Drosophila melanogaster: one gene and its partner. Changing the gene in region 1 together with any one later gene gives a genetic interaction. Each region holds a gene or a part of one and is shown on either strand. Other genes may lie near its edges. The genes, in order: Cerk and bwa.

Region 1 (15,210 bases):
ATCGTGAAGGAAATAATTAGTTATTAATAATTAGCCTAAAAACTAATTGCACCAAAAGGAACTAGTTCGATGAGCGACAATTTGTTGGTATTTTCTGTGCACCAGACAAGTACGGTCACTCTGCGAAATTGCAAGGGAATTTTCTCCAATAAAAGGCAAGAAAACTGAGGAAAATTGAAATTAAAGAAAAATTAATGGCACACAAGCGCCTGTTCGTCTACGCGGTGCTACTGGTGATATGTTATTTGGTTGGCGTGACATGGGTATGATGACTGGCCACATCCCGTGACTGCCCCACTAATCCGCTTTCATTTCCCCCTCAAACAATCAACAAAGGCTGAGACTGCGGCGCAGACATTCCCAGCGATCGGCACCAACAGCAACAACAACAGCAATGCTCAACCTGCTCCTGTGCCTGCACCTGCAGCTCCAGCGGCTGCAGCTCCACTAGCCAAGCAAGTTTCAGCTCCCACTGCCGCCCCTCCGGCCAAGGTCATCGGCCAGCCTGTGCTCGCTGCTCCAGGCAAAAATTCTTCCAATTCCAGCAGCACAACTGAGTGGTAAGTGGCACTGCACTGGCAGAAATTGCCGCATCTGGAAACTTAAAGTCTAGTCCATTTGAGCAGTTTTAAAGCTGCAATCCCTTTCGTCCCACTGGATTCTACTACTTTAAATTCAATTTACGTTGTTTGCGTAGGCTTCAAAGAATCATAGTTCATGTATTGCACAAATGTATTCACTTTTCAGCTACTAAATGTATAAGGCATCTTGGTATCAATGAGCTTAATTTGTGATTCTGTTAGGTTGGAGTTCTTAACAACCTGCTACACGTTACCATTTCAGCGTCTGTGCCGGTGCCCTGCTGCCCCGTTTGGATGCCAATGGCAAGGAGCTGCCCATATGCGCCGAGTGCAAGTGCTCCCATGTGGCGAGAAATACGACGCTGATAAAGGTGAGTCAATTCGAGTGCTCAAAAGCCGTCCGTACTTAACCAGCTCTCTCCCCCATCCAGGTCGTGGTCATTATTGTGATTTGGATCATCTCCATTTTAGTAATATACATGCTCTTCCTGATGTGCCTGGACCCGTTGCTGAACAAGCGAGTGAAGGCGAACTACCAGGAGCACACCAACGAAGATGTACATAACAAGCTTTCTAGATACAAGGGCATTCAGTATAGCCTCCTAGTTACAGCCCAAGGCGAAGATGATGAAGATGACGATGTTGATGCCGAAGCGGCTCAACTAGTTGGCAATAAAGAAGCACCACTCTTTTGAATAGATTTTAATTTCCACAACCACCTTTGTTTCATTTTGCGTTATAGATTTTGTTGACTTTCTAACCCACACCGTCACTTCATTAAGACAGTAACTAACACGGCCAGATCTTGGATCACCTCGACTAATTCCACATTTTTCCACCCTTTTCTAACCAGGATGAACCAACGCCGCCCCTGCCAGCCGTCAACAACCAGGAGCTCAGTGCCAGAGCCAATGTCCTCAATCGTGTGGGCCACCAGCAGGACAAGTGGAAGCGGCAGGTGCGCGAGCAGAGACGCCACATCTACGACAGGCATACCATGCTAAACTAACAAGGGGTTCGGTTTGCAGCTGGCGGAGATTAGGAGGCGCATGGGCGACTTAAGACACGTATTCCAAGCAGTTATCCTTTGCGAAATTCCCCTTTGGATCAAATTGATTATCTGTATATTTAGCCAGATTTTATGTTAATTAAAATAAACCAAAATATGTTTGTCAGGAGTGTTTGCATATTAATTAATAAGTTGAATGCCGGGAGGAATAACCAACAAATCCACTAAAATAAAACTTTTAATGATAATTGATGGTTATAATTTGGGAAAATAAGGAACGTAAGACCGTAATGGTGAGTCCAAGTTAGATTTGGAAACTCCCTTGGGCTTCTTAGTTTGACGCCTACTTTTTGATTCCATCAGTAGAGATTAACGAAAGAATAACTCGAAGATAGTTTCTATCACACAATAACCATAACTTTAAACGTATTATTTTCAGCCACATTTATTTTTAATAAATCATGTAACCACATATCCTTAGACAAGTGTTTTTTTTTAATGCAAAACCGCCGAGCTAGACCTAAACTAAGTTCATTCAGAATCGGAGGCTCTAGTATCCCTTTATGGTTTCGGCGAATGTCCAGTTTTCGTTAACTTGGAAGGGCCCCTCCACGCCGCATCCGTTGACGCTGCACACGCCCACAGTGTATTGGGAAATATTACGAGTATCGCGGTAGTAAAGCACCTCCATGCATGTGCGGATCTAGAATATAAGAAAATGGTAGGGTAGTTAAATAATGAAGAGTCCCCCCATCAGAGTTCGAAATTCCTTACCAGTTCGGAAGCTTCTACGGCGGTAAAGTCCCTGTCCTTGGGCTTCTTCTCACGGACCAGCGGAACGGCCAAATGGCGGGCAAAACCAGTGGCCACCACGTAGTCCTCGTAGGATCGTCCACGGAGATCCACGTTGGCCAGGTACGGAGTCCCCTCGTTGTCCACGCCGCCGACAACCACGTCAATGTAGAGGGGGTTCATCCGCGAACGACGGTTGTAGAGCACACGGGTCATCCAACTGGCCAAGGACTTGGGCTTCATCTCGATGTTGTCGTCGCAGCACTGGTCCTCGATCATCTTCTGGTCGATGTTGCGCTTGATGGACTGGATGTCAGCGAAGTCGCCGCTCCCGCCGAGCAGGATGTTCTTGTTGACCTTAAAGACGCGCTCAATGTTTTGGTAGCGGGCCATGGATCCGTAAGACACCAGGGTGTCGGCGGCCAGCATCACTCCTGAATCATAGCGAATGCCAAGCACGGAAGTGCCCGTGGTGCTGGAAGCACTGCGGAATAGTAAAAGGAGTGTAAACAAGTGGTACATCTGCATATAAACATATCCGCAGTTCCTACGTGCTGTGCTTGGTTCCATAGGGTCCCATTGTGGTCAGCTCCCGCGGTAGCTGCTGGACCGGCGTCTGTCCGCCCGTGAAGTTGTAGAACTCGCCGGGAGCGGGTCCGTTCTGCCACATGGGCTGCGCTAGGCTGTTGTAGTTGTTCAACATGCTAATTTATTCGGAGACTGGAATAACGCGAGACTTTGAAATGTTTGTCGCTGCCGGAGAATGACGGGCACAAATAAAATCAAGAGTCAGCGCAGTGTGAACAGACTTTAGGCGGGCGGCAATACCAGTATCGGCAACCGGTAGCTAAAAATACCAGACATACCAAAGATGAATCCACTATTAGCTTGGTCACACCGTTTTACATGTGTTAAATTAAATTAATTTGAAGTTTAATTGTGAACTTTTTAACATTTTATTAGATGTTGATGTTAAAAGTAATGTAAAACAGTTAACACCACGCTGCCTATACTGAATTTGTTTTTTTACTTTTGTCTTTATAATCCTCGTTGATAATACAAATCAAGGAGAAGAAAGATAAGAAATTAAAGAACTTTTCACTCAATTAGGATTAAGACTCATGTATACCCGTTGCTTCTACGGTATTTACTACTCCTTGAAACTAAATATATGTTTAGTTAATATATAATGACCATTTGCTTTACTTCATTTTAAGCCGTTCAATGGTCATTAAAGTATAAGAATCGAGAGCAATAAATGTAAATGACGTTTGGAAATTATCCTGGTCAATCTACAAATCCAATATCTCCCTTCTCTCCCTTCGAACACGATTCTCCATAGCTTTTTAAGCGGAATAAGGTTCTTTTGCTAAAACTTCTGCTTTTATTCATATTGGTGGGAAAAACGCACATGTTCCGGATTGTTGTTTTTGGGAACCCAACGAAGTTTTTTATCATAACATTTGATCATATAAATTAATAATAAAGAATTATAAATTTGAAGACATATAAATACATTTTTATTGCCAGTATACCAGTACACAATTTGTAAATATATAGGTATGTGCATAATGCTTCCGAGGGGAATGTTTAGGTTGCTGCCGCATCTTTCAGATGCCATAATACAGTCGATAATATCAGTTGCTTTATTGAGCTATGCTAAAAACAATGACGGGGAGACCCGCTCTTTAACACGATACATATACGAATAAGGATACCCTACGCAAAACTAAGAGCTACATGTCACGGCCAACGATTGATGCTAATTCTATGGGGTTAAAGCTTCTAGTCCTTGCAGCAGCAGTAAACATTGTCGCTAGAGCTAGCTGGGGTTGTGGGCGTGGTGCCGCCCTTGAGGGGCTTGCTGTAGGAATGGGGACCCCGCATGAAGACCTCGATGAGCTGACAATGCGATCTGCCAGATACGGAACGGTTAATAAGCGATTTATTGAAGTTAAAGGTACAACCAACTCACCGCATGGTTATGTCCAGGTCGGTCACCACCTCTCCATCACAGTTCCAGCTGGAAAACTCCGTCGAGGAGGAGTGGGCGGTCATTTCTTCAGGCGGTGTAATCGGCTGACAAGACCCTGCCAAGCTGTAGTCCTCCTCGCTGGCAGAAAAAGTTCTGAACCGGAATTCCCTTGTGCGATATACCTCTACAAAAGGCAAATTGCGCTGCAATGGGAAAATGTTTTTAAATATTTATTGTTTTCTACAAAATTTAATTGTATCCTTTTATTTTTCATTTATATTTTTACAGTAAAAGATACCATCGCATTCACTAGATAAAACATTATATTGTTGAAACTGGTCAAGTATATACTTTATATGGATGCCACCAGAGCGGCTAGTAGATCTTCGTAAAATAACCTTTCTGTCACAGATTTCCCTCGCTTCAATCCGAGCTAGATGGGGTTCGGTTTTGGGTTTTTGGCTTTTAGGATAGAAAGCACTAAGCTCAGCTTGTAGGCTTAGGGGATTTGGCAATTAAAGATGCAGTTAAAATGTTATGGAAATGTTATTTCAAAGGAAATGGACGCCTCTTATAGGAAAGGTGTTCTTTTGGATGTGAAAGTTGAATAGTTGTAATAGTTAGTACTCACAATATCACCACTTCTGCCCGCCGTGTTGAGCAGAAAACGCACGTTGTTGAGCAGTGAGGTCTTTTTCACGAGAATCAGGTCCAGGCAACCATCACCCAGATGACTGTAACGGGAGATGCCATTGGGACTCCTGGCGCAGGCGCAGGTTATGTTCGCGCCGCAGATCATAAAGAAATTGCCCCGCACAACCTTCCACTGATCGTTGCCGAGGTTCCTCATTGATGAAATGGAGCCAGTGGGCAATCGAAGATTGCCTGGACGCGGACGAGGCCTCAGGAGTGCTGCTTCACTGGCGGCTAGATGAGAGTCCTCTGTTTCTACCTGCTGATTGCGCTCTGCCTCTTTAGATTCCTCTTGGATGAACAATGAGGATCGCTGTTCCTGTATGCTGCTGGCGAAGCTGCAGCGCTGGCAATTGGCATAGCAGACGGATGGCACTGACTCTCCCAGCGAGCACACACTATCCGGACTCTGCGGAATGTCCTCCAGCGGCGTGGTCAGTAGAAGATCGGGCTCTTCTAACATTCTCAGTTCGGCGTCATAGCCGCGATTATTCAGGAAGGCCTTGACGCCACTGTACTCGTACCGGCGCGGTCCCATCCAGCGGTAGTTCTCGCTCTGGGCTGCCACATCGCCCAGGTACCCGTAGCTCAGGACACTGGCACAGAATCTGAGCAGGGACTGCCCATTGCTCACACTGCACACATCCAATCCCCGATGCTGGCCCAGAATCACATGGATAGCCGCTGTCCTCACATCCGCCGTGCCGTGCATACTATACGCAATGGTGTCGGTGCTGCCAGCGGGAATCACACCCACTGGCAGAGCCGGTCTTGGAATGTATGGTGGCCGCTGTTCGTCCAGTCCCAACTCTCGCATTTGACGGAATATCAGTCCGTTGATGACCTCTGCTACGGTGCCATCGCCTCCGACACAGCAAACCGCATCGTATACTCCCAGATCATGGCTCAGAAGTATGTCCTTCACTTGGTTTGCCCTCTGAGTGGTGATACACGTGGCGTCTACGCCGGCAAGCTGGAAAATAGGTCTCACATGGCGCTCATAGGTCTGAGCTCCCGCCTTGCGACCTCCATAGGGGTTTATAAAGACCAAAAGGCGGCGCACTCGCATCCGGGTGGGGGAGGAGCTATGCAGACGGATTTGCAGCTCCTGGTCCCACTGCCTCACTATGTAGGGATCCGAGTTGAAGAAGGTGAGTCTCCTTAGCTCCCACCGATTGCAATCCGTTTGGGACTTGCTCAGCCTCATGGCATAGTTGATGGTCAGGTATTGACTGGTAGGCTTCCCTTGAGCAACATCGCCACTGCATCCGGAACTGCGTTCCGAGCCTGGCGGCGAAGGCGGTTTGAGGGAGCTCGCCTTGGTGTCCCCGCTCCTTATGCTAACCACATCGTCCAGGTGGAGCACGTGGCTTTGTGGTCCATAAGAGCAGATTCCGCCTGGTTGAGCTGGCGAGTCCGGCGGCAACGGTGCCTTGGCCTCGTTTCCTTGGGGCGATTGCTTGATCTTCTGCAGACGCTCCCAAACCAACTGCTGTCCGTGAAGCAGGACCCTGTAGCTCTTCTTCTTAAGCTGGAAGTTGTTCAGCAGGACATTGTGGTCGGAGGCGGAGCAGGGCGTGAACTTGGAGGCACTCGTAGAGCTAATGGGGGCTACAAAATCCCCGGCCGAGGTGGACGACCGCCCTGCTGGCTGCTTGGTCTGCGTCATCTTGACTGGCCCACGTCTCCGTCTCCCGCTATGGCGTCCGCTTTGTCGGTACTAAGAGAAGAAAACAGGTTTCAGTTAGATATACAGTGAAACATCATCAGCACAAACTCAAAAAGCAACCATATCCTTAGTTTGGACCCGTTAGAAAAGGGGTTCAAACCTTTCATATTTTGGCGCACATGACCAAATATGATTTCTTTACTTCTTTGTGTTTATTAAGTTCAAGTTATGGTTTAATCAAGCCTGACTGTACTTAAAATAGCAGTAACAAATGAAAGAGTGGAGGAGGCAGCGTCGTACTTACGACGCTCCATTCTCTTACCCTTTGATGTTCGGCCTTTGTGACTTTAGCAGTTCACGTAGAGGTGGGCCTTTCAACTCTTAATTACTTACTGAGAGGTGTCGATGATGAAAATTAAACGGAAAACGCAGAGGGGACTGTGACAGACTGAATCAACTGCATGGAGTCATTTTCAAACCTCTGCCTCGGTCCTCCGCATCTGATGGTTTTTGTCATTAGCATAGACTTGTGAATATTTTTGAACGAAAACACGGAAAGTCGAAAAAATAAAATGTTCATTCGATGAGTTTATGGTTCAATGACCATAAAGTTATCAAAAGGCGATGAAACAGCACTGTAACTACGAGATAACGACTCATTTTTAGAATAATGATGAATAATTGATTTGGCCATTGGTAAAAGTTTAATAGCAAAGCCAATTGTGCAACTGTATCATAAACAACCAGCTGGAAAAATATCGCAACAAACTCACTGCACACATATTTTTTTAGCCTGAGCTTAAAGTATTTAAATGGTAAGTTCGCTTATGACTCATAAACCGATAAAAAATAATCGCTGGTAATTAAAATGCCAGAAATCCCGATAAGACTCCAATGAACAAGCGTTGCAATCATAAATTAATATAACGAAAAACATTTTAAGGATTGGCTTCTACAAAAATAAATCGTTTATGAACCTCAATTAAATCGCGTCCAATTCCCTTTGCAAAATAGGTTTTGAAATACTTCTCAATGGGTTCTATTTGCCTTTGTTGATGGGTTTTCAATGGCAGATAATTGGACATGTTCAGAAATTATTGCTATACATTTTATACGTATGTACATTGCGCGATTCGTGTTCATAGCTCGCTGAACTGAGCAACCAGGAAAATGCGCAAGTGTTAGAAACTGGTTTAATTTGTATGCCACCCAATGGGAGTGGAAAACAAAAAGTACAATGCAGTAGATAGCAGTTCATAGCAATGAGTTGAATGAACTCTTGATTGCAGTTTTGGGCAGAGAAAAGCGTTCGCCAGTTATAAATAAACAAAGATCGAGATGAACGTGGCAGAAGCAAAAGTTATAAAATACTTCTTAAAGTACTCAACAACTGCAGTGTGTATCATAGCGCACTTAGCCAGAACCAAACTGGTTCTGAACTCAATTCACGTTCCGATCGTAAACTTTACGGCACCTCATTTACTAACAATGTACAATTGCTTTGAACTTGGCCAAAGCGAAAGAAAGCCAGCAAGCTCCAATCATCTCAAAACAATGGGAAAGACATCTCCGAGTAAAGTTCTTGAACAAATGAATCTCTATATTTCACAAAAGCGGAGAACAGTGCCAAAAACACCTTCAAAAATGACAAACGTATGCAAATTACTCTTTAGTTAGCTGACTAGCGAGGCAGACTGTATTGTTGCTTATTAGAGAGTCGCACGCATTTCAGTGCCCGAAACCAGAACTCGCACCAACAAGCCAACAAAGCCCGTCTCACGCGGCGTATGAGCAACGAATCGCCCCAAGGTCAACGACGATCACAGACGGCACCCAGAGCACGCAAAATCGCTTTCAGAATCGGATTCAAACAAAAAAAAAGCGGACCGGGAAGCTGTAGCTGTGGCACTTGGAAAACGGGTTCTGCCCGGTCGAGTTGCGTGCAGCTGGCGACCTTCGCCTTGAATCGCTCGAGAGATCTTGGCCAGACTGCAATAACCGGCTGTTGACCATAATCTGGCATTAAAACAAACCACCTCGCCCCTTGCCCACATTTGCACCCGAGCTGCAGGCTGGCCAAAGTCGCATTTCCTAGCTTTGTATCTTGACATTGACGGAGGAGAACCGCTTTTGAGTTAGCTCTGCTAATATGGCTAGCCATATTGTTTGTTTAATTAATTTTGGGCAGCTACTTAAGATATATTGCTTGCAAAAACAGAAAACTAGGCTTTAGTAGTATATTAGCCTTGGCATTGAATAAAACTGCAATTAGCCATAATGGTAATAATAGTTTTATTCGTTTTTATTTGTTTCTTTCTGGCTAATTAGCTGGCTTTGCTTGAGAATTAATTTGTTTGTGGCATTATCTGTGGACCTTTCCAAGTTTGATTTGTATAGTATCAAATTTTATTTATATATCTAGATCATAAATATACCTCATGAATTTGGCTTACGTTCAGCCCTCACACTATTCATAGAACTTGGTTATTGGCATACTTTTCTCTTTTGAATGCCAGAATTTAATAAACTTTTAATTCTACACTTTCGATGGAATAACCAGAGCATGTTCTTTATAATTTAGAAACAAATCAACAACAAAATACCCTCATATGAATTTGAAGTAAACAAATACTCATCTCCCACTTCTGAGAGCAAATCATTCAAAAAACAAATGTGATGAACTCAAATGCCACTAAACCGAGAACAGAGAAGCAAACAAAAAACATAGGGCACCTCGAGCAATGCGTTGATTTATACATTTAATAAAATATTTACATATGATAGTACCCAATTGAGGTCGGTACAAATTTGAATGCCATAAAGAAGCGGAACCCGGGGAATCGAAACAATTTCTCCTGGGCTATAATAGAATAAGAAATGTTTCTTAATAAAAGCAGGCCTTTTTGTGTTGCTGATTCATTATGATTAGCGTCAACTAATTGCATGCTGCTAATTGCTGCAAGCACGAAAGCGATCTGTTGGAACAAAGTGTCATCCTAAATGAGTGCTAAGTGGTCAACGATTTGTATTTTGTACTTATTTCGTGAAAACCCCTCGTTTTTCGCCCTCTAATCTGTACTGGCTTATCGGCAACTCAAACAATAACAATCGAGTGCTTTCGTACCCATTGTGAATGTATAGAATAGGGCTATATCTCGCCAATTTCTACCCGCCTCATGACACGTTGTGCAAAACTGGACAGCACTACAGGTACAAACGTTTTTTTAGTATATGCTATACAATATACATGCTATGTGCTATACAAGGTTCGATAAGATTGATGACATCAAGTCTCGGTTAACTTGCAACGTGGGAGTTAGTGGGCCGGATTTTACGTACATATGTATATCAGAGCTCTGAAGGCCTAATCAATACTTTCGTTTATCTATAGACCGAGTTGTTTATAATTTAAATGCCTGTACCATAAACAGAACTAATAGAACTGTGTCCGATTTCTTTTAACTTTGAGCTCGTTGACTCACGCCAACATCTAAGAAGCACATGACAGCAGTAATTATTTAACAAAGCGAAAAAGTCTAGTACATGTAGGTCGATGTGAAGAAGGAAAAGACAGACACATTGCGGAAATGTAAACTAGCGGGTAAATTGATAACCACACAAAAAGTTCGAATGACATGGAGGGGAAATGCTCTAGATATATGTACAGCTGTGTTAAGAAAAATAGCAGTGCTTTGGACTTGAGTGTTTAAGATAAAAAATTCTTATGATTTACAGTTTTAATGGGAAATTTTTTTTTATAATATCATTAGGTATTTAATTTCAAACAATTTAACAAATGTTTCGCTTTTATTTCTTTAATAGTTTCGAAAATATAGATTAAAACAACATAATAGGCAGAAATTCTGGTTTTCAATGAAATAGCAGTGCTATGAAAAAATAGTAACAAAATTCAACTTGACTTAGAACGAACTTAGTCTTTCTTTTTAATATGTTAATTCGGGCCTAATACTTGGCTGGATAGCCTTTGTTAGCCAGCACAGCCTTACACCCACGCGGCATGGAGTCCACCAGGTCCTGGCAACGTTTGGGAGGAATTTTTGCCCATGCATCCTGCACAACTTGCCAAATCTGAGCCTTAGACGTCGGGGACTTCTTCCACACATATTGTTTAATGTCCCCCTACAGGTTTTCAATCGGGCTTAAATCGGAAGATGGTGCTTACCACGGCATTGCATCTATTCCATTTTGGGTGAACCTATTCTTAGCCGATTTGCATCTGCGTTTCGGATCATTATCCTGTTGGAATGTCCATTTTAAGGGCATATTATATTCAGAATATGACAATAAGACATCACTAAGTATATTTACATATGCGTTTTGGTCTATAATACCATAAATCATATGTTATGGACTCATAACCATTGTAAAAAAACAAGCCCATACCAGGATTTTAGGTCCACCGTGATTGAAAGTCTTCAGTGGGTGTTTTGGGTGGTACTCCGTGTTTGGAGGTCGTTAGATATACTGTAGTGAACCACTTCCACCAAATAGCACTATTTTTGACCGATCAGTCTAAAGGATATTACGCCATTTGCAGACTGGCCAGTTTCGGTAGGTTTTAGCGAAGGTAAACCTTGCCTGAATAAGCCTTGGGCTAAGTGGGGGAACCTTTCGTGGACTCCTCGCACTGAAATTTTAACGTCACTGATTCCCAAGTTCAGCTCAGACTTTATGTCCCTAGAGGATGCAAAAGGATAGGCTTTGCTCTAACGAACTGTGCGTCGATCCTCTATCTCTGTGGTTTTACGTTTGGTACCACGGTTTTCGGGCTTCCATTCATATTTAATGGTATTGGATACCATTTTGGCAGCACATTCAAGAGTTTTTTGAATGTCCTTAATGCTTTTCCTTCCTTTCTAAGCTTAAGAATTAACATTCTTTTCTCCTGGGAGCAGTGCTGTCCTCCACCCACTAAAATATAATTTAAAATTTTTTTTTTAATTTTTTGCCCTTTTAAATATACGAATTAACTTAACCAAACTCACTTTTTAGAAAATAATGATCATTTCGGAACTTTACGTTGGTCAAAACCAGGCACTGCTATTCTTATGAACAGCCTAAAAATTGCGATTTTGCTCAAGAATGTAAATAAAAAAAGGATAACAAGAAAAACTAACCGGCTTTTCTTTTTTTTTCCTATCTACACATTCAATTTAACAAAAATAAGTGGAATAAAAAGTCGATTCCGAAAAAGGACATGGAAAAATACCTTTGTATTACTTAGTTTCCTTCGCACTGCTATTTTCTGAACACAGCTGTAGATATGTACGAAATACAAACAAATACGTCAATCTTAAACTCCAGAACTACTGACATTATTAGAATCGTCAACCCCTCCACCATTTATCTCGTTTCACCCTTTTGAGCGTTATTCAATCTTGACCCGCTTTATAGCTGCCAGACATCAGCCCATGTCTGACCTTTTCGACGGTGCACGCACCTCACAGCCAAAATAGCAAAAGCAAAGCTACAAAATATTATAAATAACTTGGGGCAAGTTCCCTTTGACACGTGAGGGGTCATTATTCAGTGCTATAGCGCAGATGGTCTGCTAAGATCAAAGGAAATAGGTACACGAATAGGTTTTCTGCCAATTCCCAGAATACATTGTTATGTTAAAATAAACTATTAGTATATGAGTAAAAATGAAAACAAAGTAGATACTTATTTTTTAGTTGCTATTTACTTGCAATCTATGCTTGGCAGGTCATTAAATTATTATTAATTAAGGTCCCTGAAATCCAATTTAACCCATAGAAGTAGACATTTCTTTCCCAAGGAATAAGTATCGCAGCATCGACATCGATACTTTGCACCACCAAAACAATAACAGTGCACATATACACCGAAGGGTCCCGGTTCGCTTGCTCTAGCCGCAGTGCGTCAGAAGGGTATAGCACCCTGGGAGGGGGGGGGGGGTGGGGTGGTGCAGACAGGGACAGCTGTCATTTCCATACTCCGGGTGCCGTTATCGCAACGCAATACAGCTGTGTAGCACCAACAACTCAGCTGTTGACAAGAACATGTGTGTATACAGGCGTAAGGGTGTGTGCGTGCGTGTGGGGGTATGTGCGTCTGGCTTGAGTTCTCTGCGTTTAATTCCAACTTGGGTGCTCGTGTACCTACTTATTCTCGATCCTAGTCCGTTCTTCCAATTGGAGTGCCAGTGTGAACTGGTTGGGGAACTCACCTGGTGGCCAGGTAGGAACGTTTATCCATACAAACACGGCTGCACTTTCGAAGTCGTTGCGCTGTTTTTCCGTCTGTTTATGGGGAAATCAAGAAAACTCGATACGGATGTGCATTGCAGTTTCGCACACTTGCACTTTTTCGCTTGCACACAAACAAATGCACACACACAATTGGAAAATAGCCGACGTGCAATTGGTGCTAATGGCGTTTCGGCATCTCCCGGTTTCCCGTTTTAGCCACACTTTCCACCCCCTACTCGCTGGAGCACAAAGAATTTACGAGAACACCAGAAATGCACTTCCGTGGCCGTTACAAAAAACACAGGCGGACAAATCGAAGCGAAGTGTACGTCCGCTCGCCAGTGTGACCGTACATATAACTGTGGAAAATACGAGGCAGACCACCTGACTTGATTGAAATACCACATAGTTTGGTCTGGGGTATTCTCAAGTCTGGCGAGAACTAGGGCTACCTTAAAATTAACGGCATCTTCACCCAAAAATAACTGTGCCCGATATTTTTTTTTAAGTTTTCTCACCATTAAATACTACACTACTAATACACTACTCCCCAGGATCAAATCACTCATCCCAGCATCCACATCATCCCAAAACTCTACTGCAGCCGCCAGATAACCAACAACATTAGCTGCGCAGCTTGCAGCAATTGCTCAACGGTCACCAATGACACCGTGTTGGGCGGGAGTCTCCAGCGGGTTACGGTTGGTCCTTGTGTCGATGTGGGGACTCCGGACTTCTTCCAGGTAAAGTAGTTCAGCTATGAGTTCAGTCGGGTTCAAAATTGGTTGGTGGCCAATATAGCCATTTTGTCAATTTGCAGAAGACACAACAACTGCTCAAGGTCATACTCCTAGACTCACGGATAAGATATTCATCCAGGAACCAAAAAAGGAAAAAATAAATTTAAAATGTTAAGAATTATTTTATAATCAATTTTTTTCACTTTTGTTTAAATCCGATTGGCGAAGTGATTGTTACGCGTACATACATTATACATAAATTATCAAGGAATTCTCCTGCATTTAATTTCGAAATTCCTCGGGATTTCCGCTGGAATCTATTTCAATAGGTTGCACTTTAGTAGAATATTACTTTCGTACATTTAATTTTAAAATAGTTTTAAGAGACATCTGATACTAGGTATCTGATAGCCTGGTCATCCTAATTTCGTGTTCGCTTTTGTTATTTTCGTTACTCGAAGAGTGTAAGGTAAATTGAATTATAAGAAAAGTAGGCAAAACTTAGGATAAGCAATAGTTCGGGCATTCGACCAAAGCGTTCTCATGATTTCAGCTTTCTCTTTTTATTATTTGGTAATAGGACATACGACTATACTTTTTTTTTTTTTTTTTTTTGTTAATTCCAAATAAAACTGCAGAAATTTAAACATTAATTGGGCTTAACTAAACCAGTGGAGTCCATAAGTTTATAAGTAATCTAATGGAGTGCTATTGATAATTATTTTCAAACTGTTAATTTATAGATATATTTGGTCATACAAACTTTTTAAAGCGTAAATGAATGCAAAGAACGCAGGGTATACAAAACCCGATTAGAGATCTCGATCCGGAATTGTCAGTTTTGATTTACCAGCTTGTAGGACAGCCTGTAGGGACAATTAATTACACCTAAGCCCTAACTTTCGGAAAATGTGTGAGTATCAAATGGACTGTAGACCGCCACCCGCAGCGCGCTAATCCTTCCGCCAGCAGCGTCTCCGTGTGGCAAGTGCAACAACTGTCCCTGCGGCACCAGCGGCGGAGCCCCACCCCCCCAGCAGCCGCCCCACAGGCCACCCCCCTCGTACGCCCACCAGCCGCAGCAGCAGCCGGACAGCTGTCCCTATCCGGGTCCGCGGGGCCAGGGAGCAGGCGGGTGCCAGGTCAACTCGACGCAGCCGCCGGGCGATCCCGCCGCATGCAGCCTCTACCAGAGCCGGGGAGCCCCCACCGTGGAGTGCACGTGCACTCAGAACCGTAGCCGGCCACCTCCGCCATCCGTTCAGGCGGACCACATCACGTGCAGCCGGGGTCCGCGGGAGCAGCCGCCTGCCCTGGAGACCCGCTGCACCTGTCGCGAGAAGCCCGCCAAGACGGAGTGCCACTGCGCCCCGCCGGTGGCCCCGCCTCCCAACCAACAGCAGCAGCAGGCGATGGCCCAGCCCACCTACGCCAACGTGACCTGTGGCCAGAACGTGCCCAGAGGACCGCAACCCTATCGCCCGCACCACGGCAACCAGAGTCAGAACCCGAACTCCT
Region 2 (18,150 bases), on another chromosome or scaffold:
CCTAACCCAGAAGAAAGGAAACCTGAAAGAGTAAGAACAAAAACAAAAACAAAGAAAACCCGAGGAGAAAAGAGAAAAAGCTGTCGAAGACGAAGATTGCGCGAGAGAGCGAGACAGCAGCCTGCAGCTACAATAATCTAAGGCAACTGTACCCCTATTTTTTTTAAAATGGTTGCCCAGCATTTCCGCGTTGCGAATACACTACCATTTACAAAAGCCAGAACCACTTGATACCAATTTACAACTACCTTTTTCATTATCTAGCCCTTCGTTTTTACACCAACTTCGCAGTTATGTACAACTACAAACGGCACTTTGTTTACCGACAAACAATAGCGCACGACGAAAAAATCAAGTAACGAAAACCTGCCCCGCTTGACCAACGCATTTTTTGACCTTAGGCAAAAAAAAAAAAAAAAAATTATATATGTAACACAAGGGAAGCAAAAACTGAATTTTCTATTTTGCATACGAGACTGAGTAAATTGCAGTAGAAAATTTTTAAGCGAAATTTTTGTTATTTTCGTTGCTTTAGTTTGGACCCAATTGGATCAGTTACAGGTATTACCATATAAGAAAGAAATAATGAAAACTATAACGATCAATCAAGGTTTTGCAACTGTTATTTTCTCGATATATGCGTAGTACATACTTTGGACCCCGATTTTTATTGTATCCTTGTCTATATTAGACATTCCCCTATATTTATTGTAATACCAACTGAGCGTTGCACAGTCCGAGCAAGTGTCAAAATGAAATCAAATCGAAATATGTATGTAAAAGTTGAAATTGTTCAAAAGTTTATGCCTGGTTACATTTTGTTAACTCAACTTGTCGTTACAGAACAGAAATTGTTATTAATTTTTGGTGTTCAGACTCAGCTGTGCAAAAAGACGGACGGAAATATTATAAAAACGATTTAACAATTGCATTAGTCATTTAAGTAATTGATCAAAATGTAATGATTTGTGTAAAATTTGCTTGCAGGTTCCAAGAAAATTTTCAATTTATACAATGTTATATATCATATATATTATATATTAATGGTTAGTTTAAATTATATGTAAACCGAATAAAACGACAAATGATTGAAAAATTTAAGTTAAAATGCGTACTTGTATCTTGAGGGTTACTTGAGGAAATTACGATTAAAAGAAAGGAGATATCATTCATAGTTGCTACGATTTCTAAAAGTTAGACACCTGTTCCAATTACATACGTTGAGGTGGGTCAGTTTGGACTTAAATTTTCCAAATAAAAGTCTTAATTTCTTATGCAAATCTTTACGGAAATCTTTCCGTCTCGCACCAGTTTACTAATTGAAGTTAATCTGTCTTTTGTCTGTCTGAACTCAAAATGTTCCGCCGCTTGAAAACGTTAAATATGATAAGTAAGTACTTGATGGCTAAGGTCAGGTTTTAGGCACTAAACTGGGAACTAAGCGAAAGCACCTCGAGCCCCAATAAACCGACCTGGAACTTGACCATGCACTATCCCACCTTGCAAGCGAATGTCCAGGGATGCCAGCTCCCAAGTGATCCAAATGAAACCCCAGTCAACTAAGCCGAATTGAATTAGAGCAACGAACGTTTGGCACGGGTAGATGAGATCATCCGTGCCTTAATCATGAAAGGCGAATCAAAAAAATTCAACTGATCAAACTGAGAACTGAGCGCATCCCCCCACACGAAAACCATTCATTCCATTTGCATATTTTTTCATGAGTGTGCAAAAGGGTATATGTGCAATGGGGCGACGGGGAAAGCGATGTTCGAGAGAAACAACTCGCGGGGAGGAAGCCATATACATATTCAGTTGTTTGTGCATCGAATTCGACTCATTTTATATTCCAATGCTAACCACTTGGTTGGGGCTAAATATATTATTAAACAGTGTGGCTTAAATTACAATTGTTGTTATGCGGGAAACTGGAACGGAGAGCACACGTTCGAAGCATTTTGTTATGCCAACGTGGGTCAGAGATACAAACTTTTGAATTTATAACTACTATACTATACTATACTATTTATAACTACTACTATTTACATTATTGAATGGCTCAGTTAGTCGAAATCTTGTGAATAATTAATCTGGTTACTACTCGTATGTCAAATTTTTTCAGTTCACATAATTAGCATTCATTTGTGAACTGAAAACGTGGCTTATTTGAAAATTCATAACGGCGACAGACAACTCGCCTGTTGCTAATTACGAAAATAATTAACTGACGTATCCTCAGTGGCACGCTTTTCGTATTAGACACGTATTAGAAACAGCAGATCAATCGAATTTGAAATCGTGTGAACCTACGTCATTTGCATTCAATTCGATGTTTCTGGATTTCATTCAAAATCCCACATTCCCTGGCTATCTAAACGGTGTTTGTGGCTTTCCAAATCCAACTCGGAAAATGCTGATTGTGAACTCAGTGCGGTTTCTAGGGCTTTGCACACGAGCAAGTTAATTTGGAATTTATTTAGAAAGCTGGCTTGGGACTCCGCATTTCCAGTTCCAAAGTTCCCCCAGTCATGTGAAGGTCGCAACGAGTTCTCAAAACTAATAAAAATTGAGAAAAAACTATAGTTTAATGAATAAAAAAGGACTTATTTCTTGGAGAACAGAATATATCCCTTTGCATTTCAAAAAATGCTGAACCGCTTGTTACAAAAACTGAAAAGTTCCAGAGGAGTCAAGTCGCAAGGTGAACTTAATAGCTAGGCCATGGTATTTAAAGTGAAATACTTACATCAAAATATGTCAACTATTCTAATTACCTATCAAAAATTGAATTATTCTTTTACAAAACCTAGCCGTAGTGCAAAACCATTTTCATATAAGTGGACTGTTATTAAGCCAGTTAAATAACAGTATTAACAGTATTCTTTTTTTGTTTCGAATAATGAGCTTTTTGGATAATGAACTTAAATATGACTTTAAATTGACGAGTCTGTGCTAATAAACAAAACGGACTGCAAATGTCAAATCACAACTAATGTTAAAAATTAAAGTTATAAAACACCAACCAATTTTGATTATAAAGCATCTCCCATTACTTACATTGTACCCAAATCCTGGTTAACTTTAGATTTTACTTGGCCTAAACATATTTGCTAATTGTAACATACTCTGCCATCAATTACCTTTATTGGCTTGTATACACTTCGTAAACGTTTAGTTACCATCCTAACTATCTGTATATAAATTATTCATTTTGTGTACAAATTGTTATTGCAGCTCTTAAGGATGGAAAAAAGCTGAGCAAGGGCAATTGCAAATGCGAGCCTTCAGCGTGTAAATGTGGAAAACGTCAACAACGACAGCAACAATTGAAATTGTTGGTGTCGCAACTTAGGAGACGCGATAACGTATCAAGTGTTATAATGTTTTAGTGCCGAAGTACCGCACAAAAATACCAAATAAAGCATTATCTGCAAAGTATTTTTAAATCTATGGGGTGGCAAGTGAAGATGTAGATGGAACTTTTGTGTCGTATGCAAAGATAGGAAAAGTACTTCACGGATAGATAGGAACCATGGAAGCCCAAAAATATCAGAGGCAAAAAACAAGGTCGGCTGATATATAAAAAAAAAACACAACAAAACCCCCCTCCTTTTAAAGGGGTGAAAACAACTAGTAACAATCAACATACAAACCCTAAATCTAAACCATCTAAATCTTTCAATGATTTTAAAGATGGATTGGGCAACCACAATCTGGTGCGTTTCGTCACTACGCTGGCTGCGAGAGTCCCCTACGGACCTACGACGCCATTCCAAGAAATATTTGTCTTCACCTTTTATGGCAAAGGCCGCGTACGGAAATAAATCATGTGAGCCATTTTATGGGCCGTACTACCGTAACGAAAAGCAAAGTGGACACTGGACACTAAATAACACTCAGTGGAACGGGTTTCGGGAAAAAAGACAAGTGTTTGGACTTTCGATCAAGAGCCTCTCACTTGTGGGCGCCATGTAATTACTCATTGAATGCAGTCGAATGATTATAAATTACGTCGCAAATGTCGAGTGCGCCTTTTTTTAGAAGCCAGATACTTGTATTATATAAAACCCTCACTTTCGGATTAACTAGCCTGGTAATATTCCAACAATCAAGTTATTACGAACGTGTGGCGTTCGCTTAAGAGCAGTTGTTAACTTAAAATGCACACATAAGTATGTTACATTGATTGCTAAAGAAAACGCAGTCGTTACTCAATTCAAACAATCGTGAAACAAGTAGCTAATATGTTAACTAATGCACAACATTCAAGTCTCATGACAAGTTTATAACAATTTTCCTGCTAATGCTATGTAAGCATTTGCTGAGGTTTTATAACAAAATAATTATATTACCCGGGTGAAGACACTGCTATCTTTTTATTCGCGTTCTTAAAATAAATTTCTAGAAAGTTTACACGTGCGCCTTTGTATCAGGTCATAAATTTTATGGTCACATAGGAAAAGCAACAACAATAGATTAAATAGATATGATAAGAGGCCAAAATTTTAATCACTCAATTGATTGAGGTGCGGGAGGTCTTTGATTTGGTAGACCTTAATAAAAGGCTTTCCTATCGAAAATGATAAGGAAATAATAATAATAAAAAATACACTAAGTCTGCTGGCAATCTTAGCAAACAAAATAAACAAACGAATGATAACAAGGTTCGAGTTTAGAACTCGAGATCTCTCATATTTAGTCCTATAAAGCGCAGATAAACTCAATCTAATCTCTGGCTGATGTTGTCGTCTTCTTTTCCTTGTTTTTTTCGGACAATTTGACGCTTTATTTTAATTAAAGTAATTAGCACCCCAGTTAATTGATAGAGCCAACATAAATCTGTCTAGCAGCTGCTCCTCGCAGTGCAGACATCATTAAAACAGAATTCGCGTGTCGCGCGAGTCGAGATGATATCTCTGTAGACAGTGGGCTTCATAGCTCATCACGAGATCTGTTGAAAAGACGAATATCTGCCAGCCAGTTAAGTAAACATTTGACCGTACGAACATTTTGTGGGTACTTTCCGCAGGGGTCAACGTGTCATTTGCATGTTGCAGTGCAGTTCTACGTACTGATTGCTTTCCGGGTAATTACTGATTGCAAGGGGACCCCATTCCGTGGGCCACTGCCTAATCGAAGCGAAAGTGTTGATAAGCAATCCTATCGGTGGTGGCAAAAGTGCGGAAAGCATTGCGAATATACATATGCATTTATATTGAAGACATGAGGTTATAAGGTTTTACTGAGCTGAACTTATTCGAAACACATACTTAGCAATCACTTCTGGGTACAATTATTGATTTCAAAAACCAAGGGGATAAGAAAGAGTTATCATTAGCCGAAAGTAGACCAACCTACTGACCCGGTTGATAAGTACAAACGCAGCTAAGAACTATTTCGTAACACTTACCCGCAACAGCCAGGTGAGCACGCTCTCGCGATAGGGAACGAAGGTGCTGGGCGTCCCAGAGCCCAGGGGTCCATTGGCGATCGCCTTGCGGGAATCGGCGAGAGCAGCAATTACTTTCCCCAGCGTCAGCAGGCTCTTGTTGATGCTGACGCCCTCGCGGATCCGCTCGCCGTTCGATCCGGAGACGCTAATGCGTTCGCTGCCCGCCAGGTCCACCAGGCTAATCTTGCTGCGCCGCGTCTGCCGCAGGGAGGAGGCCGTGCTCGAGTCCGTATCCGAGGACAGGCCATCGTCACTGCTCAGATCGGTGAGGTTTAGGACAATGTTGAAGATGGAGTGTGAGCGCGAGCTCTTGTCGTTCATGGCCGTGGAGGCAGTGGCCCGCTGGGAGTTGCCCACGGCAAGCCAGTTGCGGAGTGCCGAGTACGAGTCCACCGAGTGGGCACTCAAGTCCACTACGTAGGGCCCGAAGATGGGATGCTCCCTGACCTTTAGAGCCGGACGCTGCTGCTGTTGTTGCTGCTGGATGGGCGTGGATTCCCCGGTGGCAGCTGCCGCATGCTGGACACTCAGCAGATCGTGTATCTTCTCGTTGTAGATCTCAAAGTAGCTGACCTCCACCTCCACCTGCAGCTGCTGCTGACTTTTCACAGCCTCTATGCGGCGGAATAGCTCGTGGCAGAAGCGTGGAATGATGCCCGCCTCATCGTGCGGCGGTCCGCCATCCAGAGCGGCGTCATCCAATGCTTCAATGCCCATCATGCTGTACGATTTGCCCGAGCCCGTCTGGCCGTAGGCAAACAAGCAGGCATTGTAGCCCTCGAAGGCAGTGTCGATCAAGGGACGCGCTGTGCCCTCAAAGACTTTGGCCTGGCAGGCGAAGTTCTTTCGTTCGGGATCGCACGAGTAGTAGACCTGGTCGTAGCTGAAGAAGTGCGTCACGCCGGCGGAGGCATCAGCACTGCTGCCCGCTTGGACAGTCAGCTCGTTGCTGTTTCCGTGCACCTGGACCACATTGGTGACCTGACCACGTGTGCATTCCAGGGCATTCAGTGGCCGCACTCGCACCGCCACAATCATGTTGCTCTCCTCGGACACGCTGAGGCAGGACTCCATCAGAGAGTCCCGCTCCTTTGTCCTGCTGCAGCTGGATTTCCCGGTGCCGGGCGTCTTTGCTCTTCCAGGAGTAGAGTTCGCATTCCTGTACAGCGACGAGGGTGTGTAGCAGGCATTCAGGGCCGTGGGCTTGGGCTTCGGCTGTGGCGTGCTCCCGCTGAATGCAGTGTTCAGCAGCTGTTCGGGACGATCCCGGTGCTCCCGATCCTCCGCCCGCGTCATCAGCACCTTCTTGCGCATCTCGGATGCCGGCGTGGATTTGTGGACTCCTCGCGTCTGGAACTGCTGGATGCGCTGCCGCACCGGAGTGCTCTTGTTGCTCATGTCTAGATTATTATTTAGGTATCTCTGCTCGTTTTTTAAATAACGCCGAAGAGTTTCGAATTATTGCGCGGCGTCGTTTGTTATTTTTTTTCTAGTGAAGGGCGGCGATCGATAGCAAAGCAGGGTTGATTACAGTGAGCGGCGTGAGGTCCGGCAACGCCACCACGAGCCAGGGATGAACAGCACTTACATACTCTGTTAGCTAACTCTGTTAATCAGCTCATTTAAATTATGAGATAATTGACAAAGAACTAACATGAAATAAATAAATATATAGCGAAATTGTAATAGTGTAAGGATTTCTACCCATACAATAGTCTATTTGTGCAGTTGTAAATCACTGAGAACAGTTGTGGCGGCAAACTGCTCAGCTCTGGCCGATAACCGATACGCGCTGCCTTGTTATCGGGAGCAGCTGTTGACGAGCAACGTAGACAAAAGTAAATATTATTGAAAATCCATAGCAATTAAAGGTGAGTTCCTTGCTGAATTGAGTTTGTTACCATGGCTATAGCATACCACACCCTGTCTTTGCAGCACGCATAGGCACTTGCAACAGAAAACGAGGGAACATCAATCGCTAATCAGCTGCAATTAGCCGCACTCGAAAAGTTCAGAGAAACTAGTTCCGAGCGTGTTGATATCGCAGTCGCCGCATTTGTGGCTTATATTTCCTTGTTCCCTCGATCCAAGTACCATATAAATAAGCGCGGCTCAAAAGCAGGTTTTGCATTCATTGTAAAACATTGCCAAAGCGCGCAGCTGATCAGCCGCATATATAAATCCACATCCAGATACAGATCCAGATATATAGTATAAATCGGACTTGAAATGTCGCAGCAACCTGTTGCCTTTTTAACCCGTCGCGAAACTTTCAGCGCCTGCCATCGTCTCCATAGGTAATTAGATTGAATCAAATTGAATCATTCAATTGCCTGATTCAATCACGGCTGGCAAACCAATTCAGTTCGATTTAAATTGATTGCTGCATCTATTTTCTCTTCAGTCCCCAATTGAGCGACGCCGAGAATCTGGAAGTCTTCGGCAAGTGCAACAATTTCCACGGCCACGGACACAACTATACAGGTAAAAAAAAAAATACCCCTTAAATACACTTAGTCGCATGATTACCTGCAAAGTGCCACACTTATTATCACATAACCCCGGCTCAATCAGGCTTAACCCCCTACTAAACTGGTAATTTGAGCCCAAAGTGGTGCCTAACCATAGCAAAACCTTGGCCGACAAGCTCGCTTATCAAAACCATATTCAAGTTCAACGCTCAAAGGCAATCAATATGTTGACTGGCGACCGAGAATTGATAATGAATAATGGTTCTGAACGAGCATAAAGTGTCGCAAGTGCTCAACTGATTAGAAATTTGGATTATATTTAGATTGTCAATAGCTAAACCTTAAGAACTCAAGCTTGACTCGATGCCGATTATACCAAATTATACCAAAAAATGTGTGAATAGACTACGAAAGATGTTCTTTTATAATCCTTTGTGATCTTTTCAGTTGAGATAACCGTCCGTGGTCCCATCGATCGGCGAACCGGAATGGTGCTAAACATCACCGAGCTGAAAGAGGCTATAGAAACTGTGATTATGAAGCGCCTGGACCACAAGAATCTCGATAAGGATGTCGAATACTTTGCCAATACAGTAAATAACCAGCAAGCACAACACAACTTACCGTACTTATCCTTTATATCTATCCCCCCCAGCCAAGCACCACAGAAAACTTGGCCGTTTACATCTGGGACAACATCCGTCTGCAGCTGAAGAAGCCGGAGCTGCTGTACGAGGTGAAGATCCATGAGACCCCAAAGAACATTATCAGCTACCGCGGCCCGTATCCGCTCAATGGCATCTACAACCCCATCAACAAACGCATCGCTCACGATTCGTGCACCAACATCTCGTCGGATTCGGATTGAACATTCGAAGATTGTGACATCGCCTAACGAATTTTTTGATTGGACCAATGATCAGCGAAGACTCAGCCAACCTCTTAAGCACGCGCGTAGAAAAGGACACTTACCATGTAAGGGAATGAAAAGTTATACGAATTACACAGTATGTAGGAGTAAAATATGTTAATGCAACATAATATTGAATAAAACAAAGGCAACTGAAATACTATTCTTTATTGCGATTAAACAAGAGAGCTTGCATTCCTAACACAGTATATTTGTCGACATTCGTTTAGCCTAAGTAAATCATACATACTTCCTAAACTATCGCTCCATATGGCATCTATACATAATTTGGTTTCCGCGATGAGCAGGCGAGCTTTGTAGTTAATAAATAATTTAGTTGTTCCACCTTCTGCAACTCTAACTTATATCACGCTGTGTATGTCTCTGTTTGGAGAAGGCTCTCCACCCGATTTCTTGCCTTAGTTCTTTCGGTGCTTGTAGTCATAGTCATAGTCCTGCATGTACAGACTGCAGTAGACGAGCCAATCTTTCGAATCTGTGGAATCAGCAAGGTAGCGGGTTGAATGATTTGGATTGCATAATACTTTGAGCAACGATCTCTACTTTGTTTAGTGTTTTAGTTGTGGTTACTGCTACATGCTAGTAGATTTCCAATCCAGAATAAGTGTAGGTGTTAGTTGGTTAGTTTGCGTAAATTAGACAATTAACAAATTCAGGTACTGACAACCTAATACGATTTTTTGTCTCTTTGGGAAAGCGTAGGAACCATTTGTTCTGGAAGTCATGGGATGAATTAGTTCATAACATATCACAGTCTGATGGTAACTCATACTCATAGAACGGGTTAGAAGACTTTGATTAAACTCATTTTAGGGGATAGACGGAACAATAAACATCATTTAGATATGTCTTTCTACAATAGTTCCACGGAGCAATCGCCCATTCATTTATGGACTAAGCAGGGCGCTACTATTATTGTTTTAGGCCCAAGTGTTCAGGTGCACCGAATCTTAAGGCGTTAACAGACTTATCTCTTTTGGGTACAACCGCGAATCCGATTCGTTTGCTTAATATAAATACATCTATGGCTAATAAACTGTTTCAACTATATAAAAAGTGTGCGCTACAATTACGTTGCCGCAATTTTACAATAATTGTGTATGGTTTTAAAGCATGTACGATATTATCGCTTGGTCTTTGGTCACTTCTCTGCCAGCTCTCCATTCCGGCGCAATCGTCCTTAGATGGTGTTGCGCAGAGCCTTACCTGGATTCCGGATCGAAATGAAGGGTATCCCGAACTCGAACTCGTTCTTTGGCCAGTACTTCAGCAGCGGCTGTCGCTGGGGCAGCTCCGATTCCACGTAGAAGTAGGCGAAAAGCACCAGCACCGTGTAGGCGGCTATAAAAATGAATATGTGCCAGAAGCCGTGCAGGTATGGAAAATTGATCGAGGACCAGGCCTCGCAGAAGATCCGGTCATTGATCCAGCAGAACACCGCAACAGCCCAGACGGTCGTCGATCGGATGCCCAGGCGGTAGACCCTCTGGTCACTAACTCTGTATGAACAAAGATATATATGGGTATTAATAAGTTGTTATATTTCGAAATAATTCGAAAAGAAACGCTCATGCTTTTCGTGTTAAATTAGCCAAGCGTTGTGAATGCAATTATTAAACGAGACTTTCGGTCCGCCAATGAAAATGCTGCAGTCAAAGGTGATCATGACGCTGTCGCGTAAGGACTTTCAAGCCCTTTTAATCGTAATATGCTTTGGTTTTTGGATCGAGAACCTTGTTCAGGGCGCAGATGATTACTATGTATATAGTCCGGTGTGCCAGATGCCCGCCGTGAATCCCTTCACGTGGGACACAATGAGTAATTTCCACAGAAAGACGCTAAGGCATTGCCACAACGACAGCGACATGGTAACGAGTGAATTCGACTTCGAGACACATCAGTACCGACTGCATGTGCACGAGCACCTGGCCAAGCCCATTATGAACAGGAAGGGCAATGCCACCCTGGAGTGCGAGTACCAGGAGATTTCACGGGATAACTCCGACCAGAAGCCCGACAATGCCTATAAGTAAGTATGAGCATACCATGCAGATATGAATGTATAAATATTATTCCGATAATGGTTGAAGGAGATTAGAGAAGCTTTCTGACTTTGTTAATAAGCCCAATTGGATTTCTTTCAGTCAGCTAAGAAGGCGGCCCATAGAGCAGCACCAGTTCGTTCCGAACAACACCGACTACATGATCACCAGTTGCTACGTGAGGGATGTGACCAAGCACCGGGAGCTGCTGCAACAGGATGCCATTTCCTTCATCGAGGACCGCCTCCCAAAGGAGAAGGTCAAGGATTTCGTGAAGGACGAAAGTGAGGTGCACAAGCCGAGCGTTCTGATCATGGGACTGGACTCCACATCGCGCATAAATCTTCGACGAGCCATGCCATCGGTTTACAAATTCGTTAGACAACCCGGCTGGTTCGAAATGCAGGGCTACAATAAGGTGGGCGACAATACCTTTCCCAATCTTCTGGCCGCGCTGACAGGGGATTCCGAAAAGGGAGTAGGGGATTATTGTGATGTCACAAAGCCGGGCTGCTTGGACTCCCTGAACTTCATTTGGAAGCGTTTCAAGAAAGCCAACTACACAACAGCCTTCGCCGAAGATTGTTCATCTATTAGTACCTTCAATTACCTGAAACCGGGATTTGTGAAGCAGCCAACGGATTACTACCTTCGCCCACTACTTTTCGCCATCGAAAAACAATTTAAAGTGACCAATGACTTCGGATTTGCCTACTGCGTGGGTCGCCACCTCAGCTTCAGCTACGTCTGGGACTTTGGCCAGCAGTTCATCGATCGCTTCCTCGGCAGATCCCCAATGTTCGGCTTTCTATGGAGCAATAGCTTCACCCACGATTACTACGAGGGAGCCACTGCACTGGACAACCTGCTCTGGAAGTATCTAAAGTCCTTCGAGGAGTCCAATCTCTTTCAGAAGTCCATTGTGATTCTGATGAGTGATCATGGCCACCGGTATAACACTTTGAGGCGGGCTTCCACTGGGTATTTCGAGGAGCGCATGCCGATGATGTTCATCTACTTGCCACCCTGGTTCCGGCGCAAGTATCCCCATTTGGCGAGTAATCTCGGCAAGAACCAGAATCGACTCTCGTCCAACTACGATGTGTACATGACGCTCCAGCACTTGCTCCAGTTGGATAGCAAGTCCGTGGATGAGTTCCCGGATAATCTAAGGGCAAGGCAGTGTAAGAGCTGTCAGTCGCTTTTCTTCGAGCTGCCCTTCAATCGCACTTGCCAAATGGCCGGAATCGAGGAGAAATGGTGCTGTTGCCAGCCCACGGAAACCATTACGAATTCCCCGCATGTGAGCACAATTGCCGAGGCTATTGTCCAGCGAATGAACGAACACTTAATTAGCCATAATCTCAGCGATCTTTGCCACAATTTCACATTGGATTATGTGGAGAAAGCAGATCGCAAAACCATCCTGTCCAACGGACTTCGGCCGGCTGATAAAAACGAGCAAGTTTACATCATTGTTTTCGAAACTGTCCCGAAAAACCCAATTTTTGAGGCCACTGTGCGCTGGAATAGTCGAACCCAAAGGCTTCTTCACTTCGATGTCGAGGAGCTAAGTCGATTGACCTCCTACAAGAATGATGCCAACTGTATAAATCGCAAGAATGCCAAGAAGTATTGCATTTGCAAGGACAGCTTAAGTAGGCCTAGTTAGCACTGGTTAAATTGTATAATTCATAATAAGGAAAGAAAGATACCATTGTGTACCCACTATATCTATCGTTACTTTTTCTATAGTTTCCTACATTCAATTTAAGGGTATAAATCCATTACTCAGTTGCAACCCAGATACGTCATACATTACGAAACTTTGTGACAACTGTAAGTCCCAAAGGAAATAATCAGTGGCCAGTTGACTACCTAAGCCAATATAAACAATAAGCCCTCGAGCAGAGTACTCTACTCCAGGTTTATCTTAATTACACACTGAAATCGATTGACATGATTGATTGATGCACCGACGCCTGGTCCCAAACATTCAATGCCAGTGCAGGGAAACACCCCTTCGTTTTGATTTTTGACCTACTCGAACCATAACATATCATCGATGACAAAGAAAATAAAGCTGATTAAATAGGTGCTGATAAGGTTGAAATAGTTTTGGCTCCCAAAGATAAAACAAAAAAGCATACGTGATAGCAGGGATGAGTGATGTTAGGATACATGATTTATGGGCCTTTCGGTTAATTTCGGGTCACCAGGCGGGAAATCAGAGCCGCCTGCTTATCGGTAAGACCCTCAGATTTACGAGTTGTGTATATCGTCTAGGTGAACTTACCTCTGCAGCTCTGTGTAGAGCATTACCATGGTCGGCACACTCATGAACATGAGAACAAAGGCGTTAACAATGGGCTTCCACCACGACAAGCCCGTCGCAGCAATCGCCGACAAGAGCATGAGCCAACTGAAGGTTTTGCTGGGGGAACAAAGGAAACCGAAAGTCGGGGGATTTAGATAGTGCCAGCCGTCAGGGGATCACAGTGCTTACCGATCGTTTTTCACGAACTTGGGATAGTATCGCTTCGGATAGAAGAGCGAAAAGGCCGCCATGAAGACCCAGAGTATGGCCAGTTCGTCCAGCAGCTGGCCAATCAGACTCAAAGTGGCATGGAAGTACATCGAACTCAGGCCAACCACGATGAGCAGCACCCAGATGACGTGGATTCCGGGCGTCACAAAGCGTCCGTACTCCTTGAAGAGCATTATAAGGACGGGCGGCAGTAGGATGAACAGGAAGTTGCTAAACTGTTGAGGCAAAAAGAAGTAGAACGACTTTTTAATATTTATCATTCCTTCAATGTAAATGGGTTGATTATATATCAATAAAAATTAAAAAGGGGGGAACGCCATGATCAAGTATCGCGACTATTACATACCCTCTACTTTGCTCTTGTAGCAAGCAGATAATATACATTAAACTATAAGATAACTTTAAAGAGGCTTAAAATATAAAACCAATCTTGGCACGTAGATTTGTATTGATTAGCTAAAGTATCATTCAAAATATCACGGAACGGAATCTGCATCCGAAAGAAGAATCAGAATCTCTTTTCTATCTATCTTCTATTTTACGAGATCTTGAAGTTCATACGTACGCTAGTAATCCTGATCAAGAATATATATCTTTTCTAAGGTCGGAAATGCTTTACTCTACCTGTTATATACTTTTCAGCTAATCTTCTATGCACTTTAATCTCCTAGTAATCGGAGTATGAAATAAATGGAAATTATTATCTTTTTTCTTAAAAAGTTTTATGACAATGTTTCCTATTTGCTATAGCTCCCTGTGGGCTGTCTAAATAATTAACATTTACGTGTCACTTGGGCAATTTGCACTGTGTCACGTAAATGTGTGAACAAATTGAATGAACAGAAATCATTTTGAGTGGGCAATTGGACGAGAAGTGGAGCAATTATCACATCTAAAGGGTGCATGGATCAGCATTAACATATGCGTATACTATTAAAACCAGTGAGTGATAAGAAACTGGGATATGCCGCAATTATTCACACTTCCCACTATAGAGATATTAACGATTTCATCAACACAAGTGCCGCTGGTTATTGTGCAGCAGAGTGTCAAGAACGGGGTTATTCACTCCGTTTGCTGGGCGAACAACTCAGTTGAAACAAAGCCGAAATGCGTTGTGCACTTCAATGGGCCACGGCGAACGATTACTCATGTCGACCAAATCAATTAAAAGCCATTCCCATTATCGTTAGCCAGCGGAAGTGTATCTGCACCATATGAAAGGCCGTTCTACAAAGTAACTTAAGGCTCCCCAGTTTACATTGACCGAACTGATGATACTGCGTTCTATTTGAAACGCAAGATTGTAAATTACGACATACTATTGTCATCGTGTTGGGGAAATATGGGGAAATACGATAACCTTTTGGACTTGAGTTCACTTTGAGAACGTTCTATTTCTTGCTGGGAATTCAAAAAACTATTAGGCTGGAAAATTATTTACATTTCGAACATCTTATAGAAACTAATTGAGATTAGATACGACAATAAAGAAATTTCCCTTAATCTTAGTTACGAATTTAGAGTTTGCACTTACTTATATTGTTAATTAGAATATCAGAAAAAATGTTGTTTTGATCCACTTTTAGTGCGTTGTTTTCGTAAACAGCGTTTCTATCAATGGTTAGCTTCAGACGATTAACCTTGATAAGGCCTAATGAAAGTGAGCCCGTCACATATTGAGTTACGAGTTACGATTGTAAGAACGTTTATATTAATGCGGATGCCATTCATTACCACCAGCACAGCTATTTGTTTAGGCTGTTTTACTATAATGACAAATGCAAACGGCTGACTAACTAAATGAAATCGCGAGCGTATAATCTACATATTTCAAATCTAATAACATCGGACAGCCGGGTTCAAAGTAGTTATATAAATCATATTATATATGAAAGAGATGATAACAACCAAATGAGAGAAGCTAGCCCTTGCAGGACTTAGTTTGAAGTCCGTGTAGCGGCCAAGTCTGAAGAGACACAAGTTTCCAGTCCGAGGACAAAGTGTTCATTATGCTTTGCCCTGTCCGCAATACCAAGTTTTATATCGATCGGACAGGTGTGAAGCTCAGGGCGATAAGAAAACTGAATTTTCCGGGTGTCGCATTTTCCGGGTGCGAAAATGACCCCCACCCCCAGCCCATCGTCACACCAACGCAAACAAAGCGTGGCAAACAGCATCTTTTGTTTACGTTGCCAGTCGGTCTCGCTCTAAAAAGGTCAAGGCCTATTCAAAGGGAAAACTAGCAGCTGTCTGCGAAGGGGTGAGAAGAGCAACTACGACCACTGCGGGGACAACTAAGTGGGGCAGCGAAAGCAGAGCGCACAAATTACATACAACGTTAAATAAATCGCACATACGCACCGTGTTCACGAACTCGGCGATGTTGGACGAAATCAAGTAGTTGCCTTCGCACCAGTCGACGGGCGAGCTTCCGGGTCTTAGGTGCTCCCAGGCCATGGCGTAGATGTCCAGCAGCCCGCCGCCCCCCATCCCGCCCATTCTCCGCCCACTCGATGGAGGCCCGACCGCAGAGATCACAGCTGATTGGGGAGGCGGTTCCGCTCGTTCTGCCCAGGCACTTTGTGTGTGTGTGTGTTGCTCTGTCGCCCTTCCTTGCAATCTTAGACCAGCTGCAGTGGCGCAATTTGCATAATAGCCCAGTGTGCAAGCACTTGCGTGTCTTTGTTGATTGCCTTCCGTCGCGTGGCTTACTGCAGAGTCGAAGTATTCCGCAGTTATGTAAGGAAATATTTAGTTCTTGATGGCTCAGGCGATGGAATCTACGACGTTTGGGACGCTGACCACTCGCGCTAGGAACGCACTTTTCAAAAAATAAACCAGCGCGCAACGAGCGACGCGATAATAATAAACAAAAATAACAACTGTGTGACCGCTTGCAAGCGAACGGTAAATGTCCATAGTGGCGGGAAATCCCCTAAAAAATACCGTTGCTCACAACTATACCGTTAAGCAATGTGAAATGTAAACGTAATGTAGAAACTTTGCAGTTGTAAAGTGCGCCATTCTCTTTTTTTAATTACCGCCTGGCGATTTCGGAACTCCTGTATCGGAAGTCTTATTGTTATATAAATAAATATATTCTTTATGGCATTTTAAAGTGTTGTTCTTGAAAATTATCCTTCACAATTTTATCAAAAATGAGTAAGGAATTCTGAACGTGTTCTGAACCTTTAACCAATCCTTTGACCAATCTATAAATGACTAACTATCATAATTTTGGATGTCCTCCTAGTGATGATGCGCACCAAGATTGCTCAATTTGAAAATGAAAGCTGTAAATAGAAATGCTAAAAAAAACTTGCAAAACGTATTTTCAAAGTCTTTCTATTAATCGACACTTTCATCTCAACTCGTGAAGAAGTGCAATTAAAAATTATTAAAATAGGTCAGTATACATTTTTCCGAGTTCATAATACTGATATTAATCGGAATAAACGAACTCATTTTGAATAAACCAATCAAAAAAAAAAAAAAAAAAAACTCCAGAGTATCCAGCTCGCGCGATTATCTCTAATATTAATGTCTAATAATATCGATATTTCGATTGGTACACAAATCGATGTATTTGGTCTTGCCGGGCTCGTTGCTCTTCCTTGCTGGCCGATTCTCTGTTGTTTTACGGAATCTTGAGTGAGAGACGATGTTCCCGCAACGCAGCTCGGAGCTGTACCGCACTCCGGTGACCCACCAGCCTCCGCCGGCACTGGAGCTGGCCGGGAATCTGGAGTACCCGAACCTCAACATTGCGGACCTAAACGCGCGATTGGAAAACCTTTCGCCGCGACTGCACGACTGCTGGGACAGCATCGCTATCAATGATCACAACCACCTGGCCCTGGCCACAAACCGACGCGAAGGACGCCAATGGTGGGGCATGTTGTTCGGCTACGGACGCGACCAGATGCACCATATGAGCGTGGACTCGGCGAACTTCAAGCTGCAGGCGGAGCACACGGTGAACATTGTGCGCTACGCTGAGGATGATTTCCTACTGGTGGCCCTTGGGGATACCCGACTCCAGGCCTGGTCCACATACTCCAAGGTGCGAGATTCTCAGTCGCCATACTGCCTCTTCCTCGTGGGCGAGTCCAGTGCGCATCCCACACCCATCAGCCAACTGAGCGTCTTCAAGGCGGATCCCCGCACTGCCGTTTCGGGCTCAGCGGACAGTACCCTCAATGTATGTATAAAGGTGATGTGGATGTATGGAAAATATACAAATGTTACCCTTTTGCAGGTCTGGGATCTCTCGGGCGCCGATATGGTGAGCACCTACAGATCGCGCTCCTCGCATACCGACAAGTTGACTGGCCTGGCCACACCCGCAGCTTCAGTCGATAAATTTGTGACCTGTGATCGTGGCGGCTGTGCCCGCCTTTGGGATGTCCGGGCAGCGGCTCCATCTTCCACGTGCCTCTATGCGGATGCCAGCCACGTGCTGAGCTTCACCAGTGCCGCCTGGGCAGCTGCCTCGGAGCTGCAGGGTGACAATCACATCTATCTCGGGGACTATGACGGCAAAGTTCATACTCTGGACATTCGAGTGCCACGAAAACTGGCGGAAACCAGGGAATACTTCGACAAGGGCCATGTCGCCCAGTTATTAATCAATGGGTACAAGTTTAAGCGAAACAATGACGATTTGCATTAACGCACATATTTTCAGGCCCCATCTGGCTGCG

What was found.
Region 2: of Cerk (region 1) and bwa, changing one suppresses a phenotype caused by changing the other (phenotypic suppression), as found in Drosophila melanogaster (one study listed by BioGRID).

What each region holds. Positions count from the first base shown.
Region 1 is NT_033777.3:5,354,991-5,370,200, forward strand, and holds Cerk (ceramide kinase), read right to left. Parts: upstream 13,317-15,210; 5' UTR 12,931-13,316; intron 7,077-12,930; exon of another isoform or gene 7,042-7,076; intron 6,771-7,041; 5' UTR 6,720-6,770; coding exon 4,989-6,719; intron 4,561-4,988; coding exon 4,358-4,560; intron 4,298-4,357; coding exon 4,168-4,297; 3' UTR 3,883-4,167; downstream 1-3,882. Other genes in the region: CG1161 (uncharacterized protein), read left to right, coding at 195-263, 337-560, 844-952, 1,013-1,138, 1,435-1,590; Prosbeta7 (proteasome beta7 subunit), read right to left, coding at 2,141-2,293, 2,365-2,866, 2,934-3,085; CG31542 (uncharacterized protein), read left to right, coding at 14,602-14,605, 14,665-15,210.
Region 2 is NT_033779.5:20,064,557-20,082,706, reverse strand, and holds bwa (brain washing), read right to left. Parts: upstream 16,317-18,150; 5' UTR 15,947-16,316; coding exon 15,809-15,946; intron 13,915-15,808; exon of another isoform or gene 13,660-13,914; coding exon 13,403-13,659; exon of another isoform or gene 13,389-13,402; intron 13,331-13,388; coding exon 13,193-13,330; intron 12,627-13,192; exon of another isoform or gene 12,569-12,626; coding exon of another isoform or gene 10,999-12,568; intron 10,884-10,998; coding exon of another isoform or gene 10,519-10,883; exon of another isoform or gene 10,512-10,518; intron 10,354-10,511; coding exon 10,061-10,353; coding exon of another isoform or gene 10,035-10,060; exon of another isoform or gene 9,330-10,034; coding exon 9,253-9,329; 3' UTR 8,988-9,252; downstream 1-8,987. Other genes in the region: neb (nebbish), read right to left, coding at 5,411-6,850; pr (purple), read left to right, coding at 7,682-7,749, 7,857-7,936, 8,371-8,516, 8,579-8,791; CG10730 (uncharacterized protein), read left to right, coding at 10,519-10,883, 10,999-12,568; vls (valois), read left to right, coding at 17,109-17,648, 17,706-18,082, 18,135-18,150. UniProt on the Drosophila melanogaster protein: Hydrolyzes the sphingolipid ceramide into sphingosine and free fatty acid.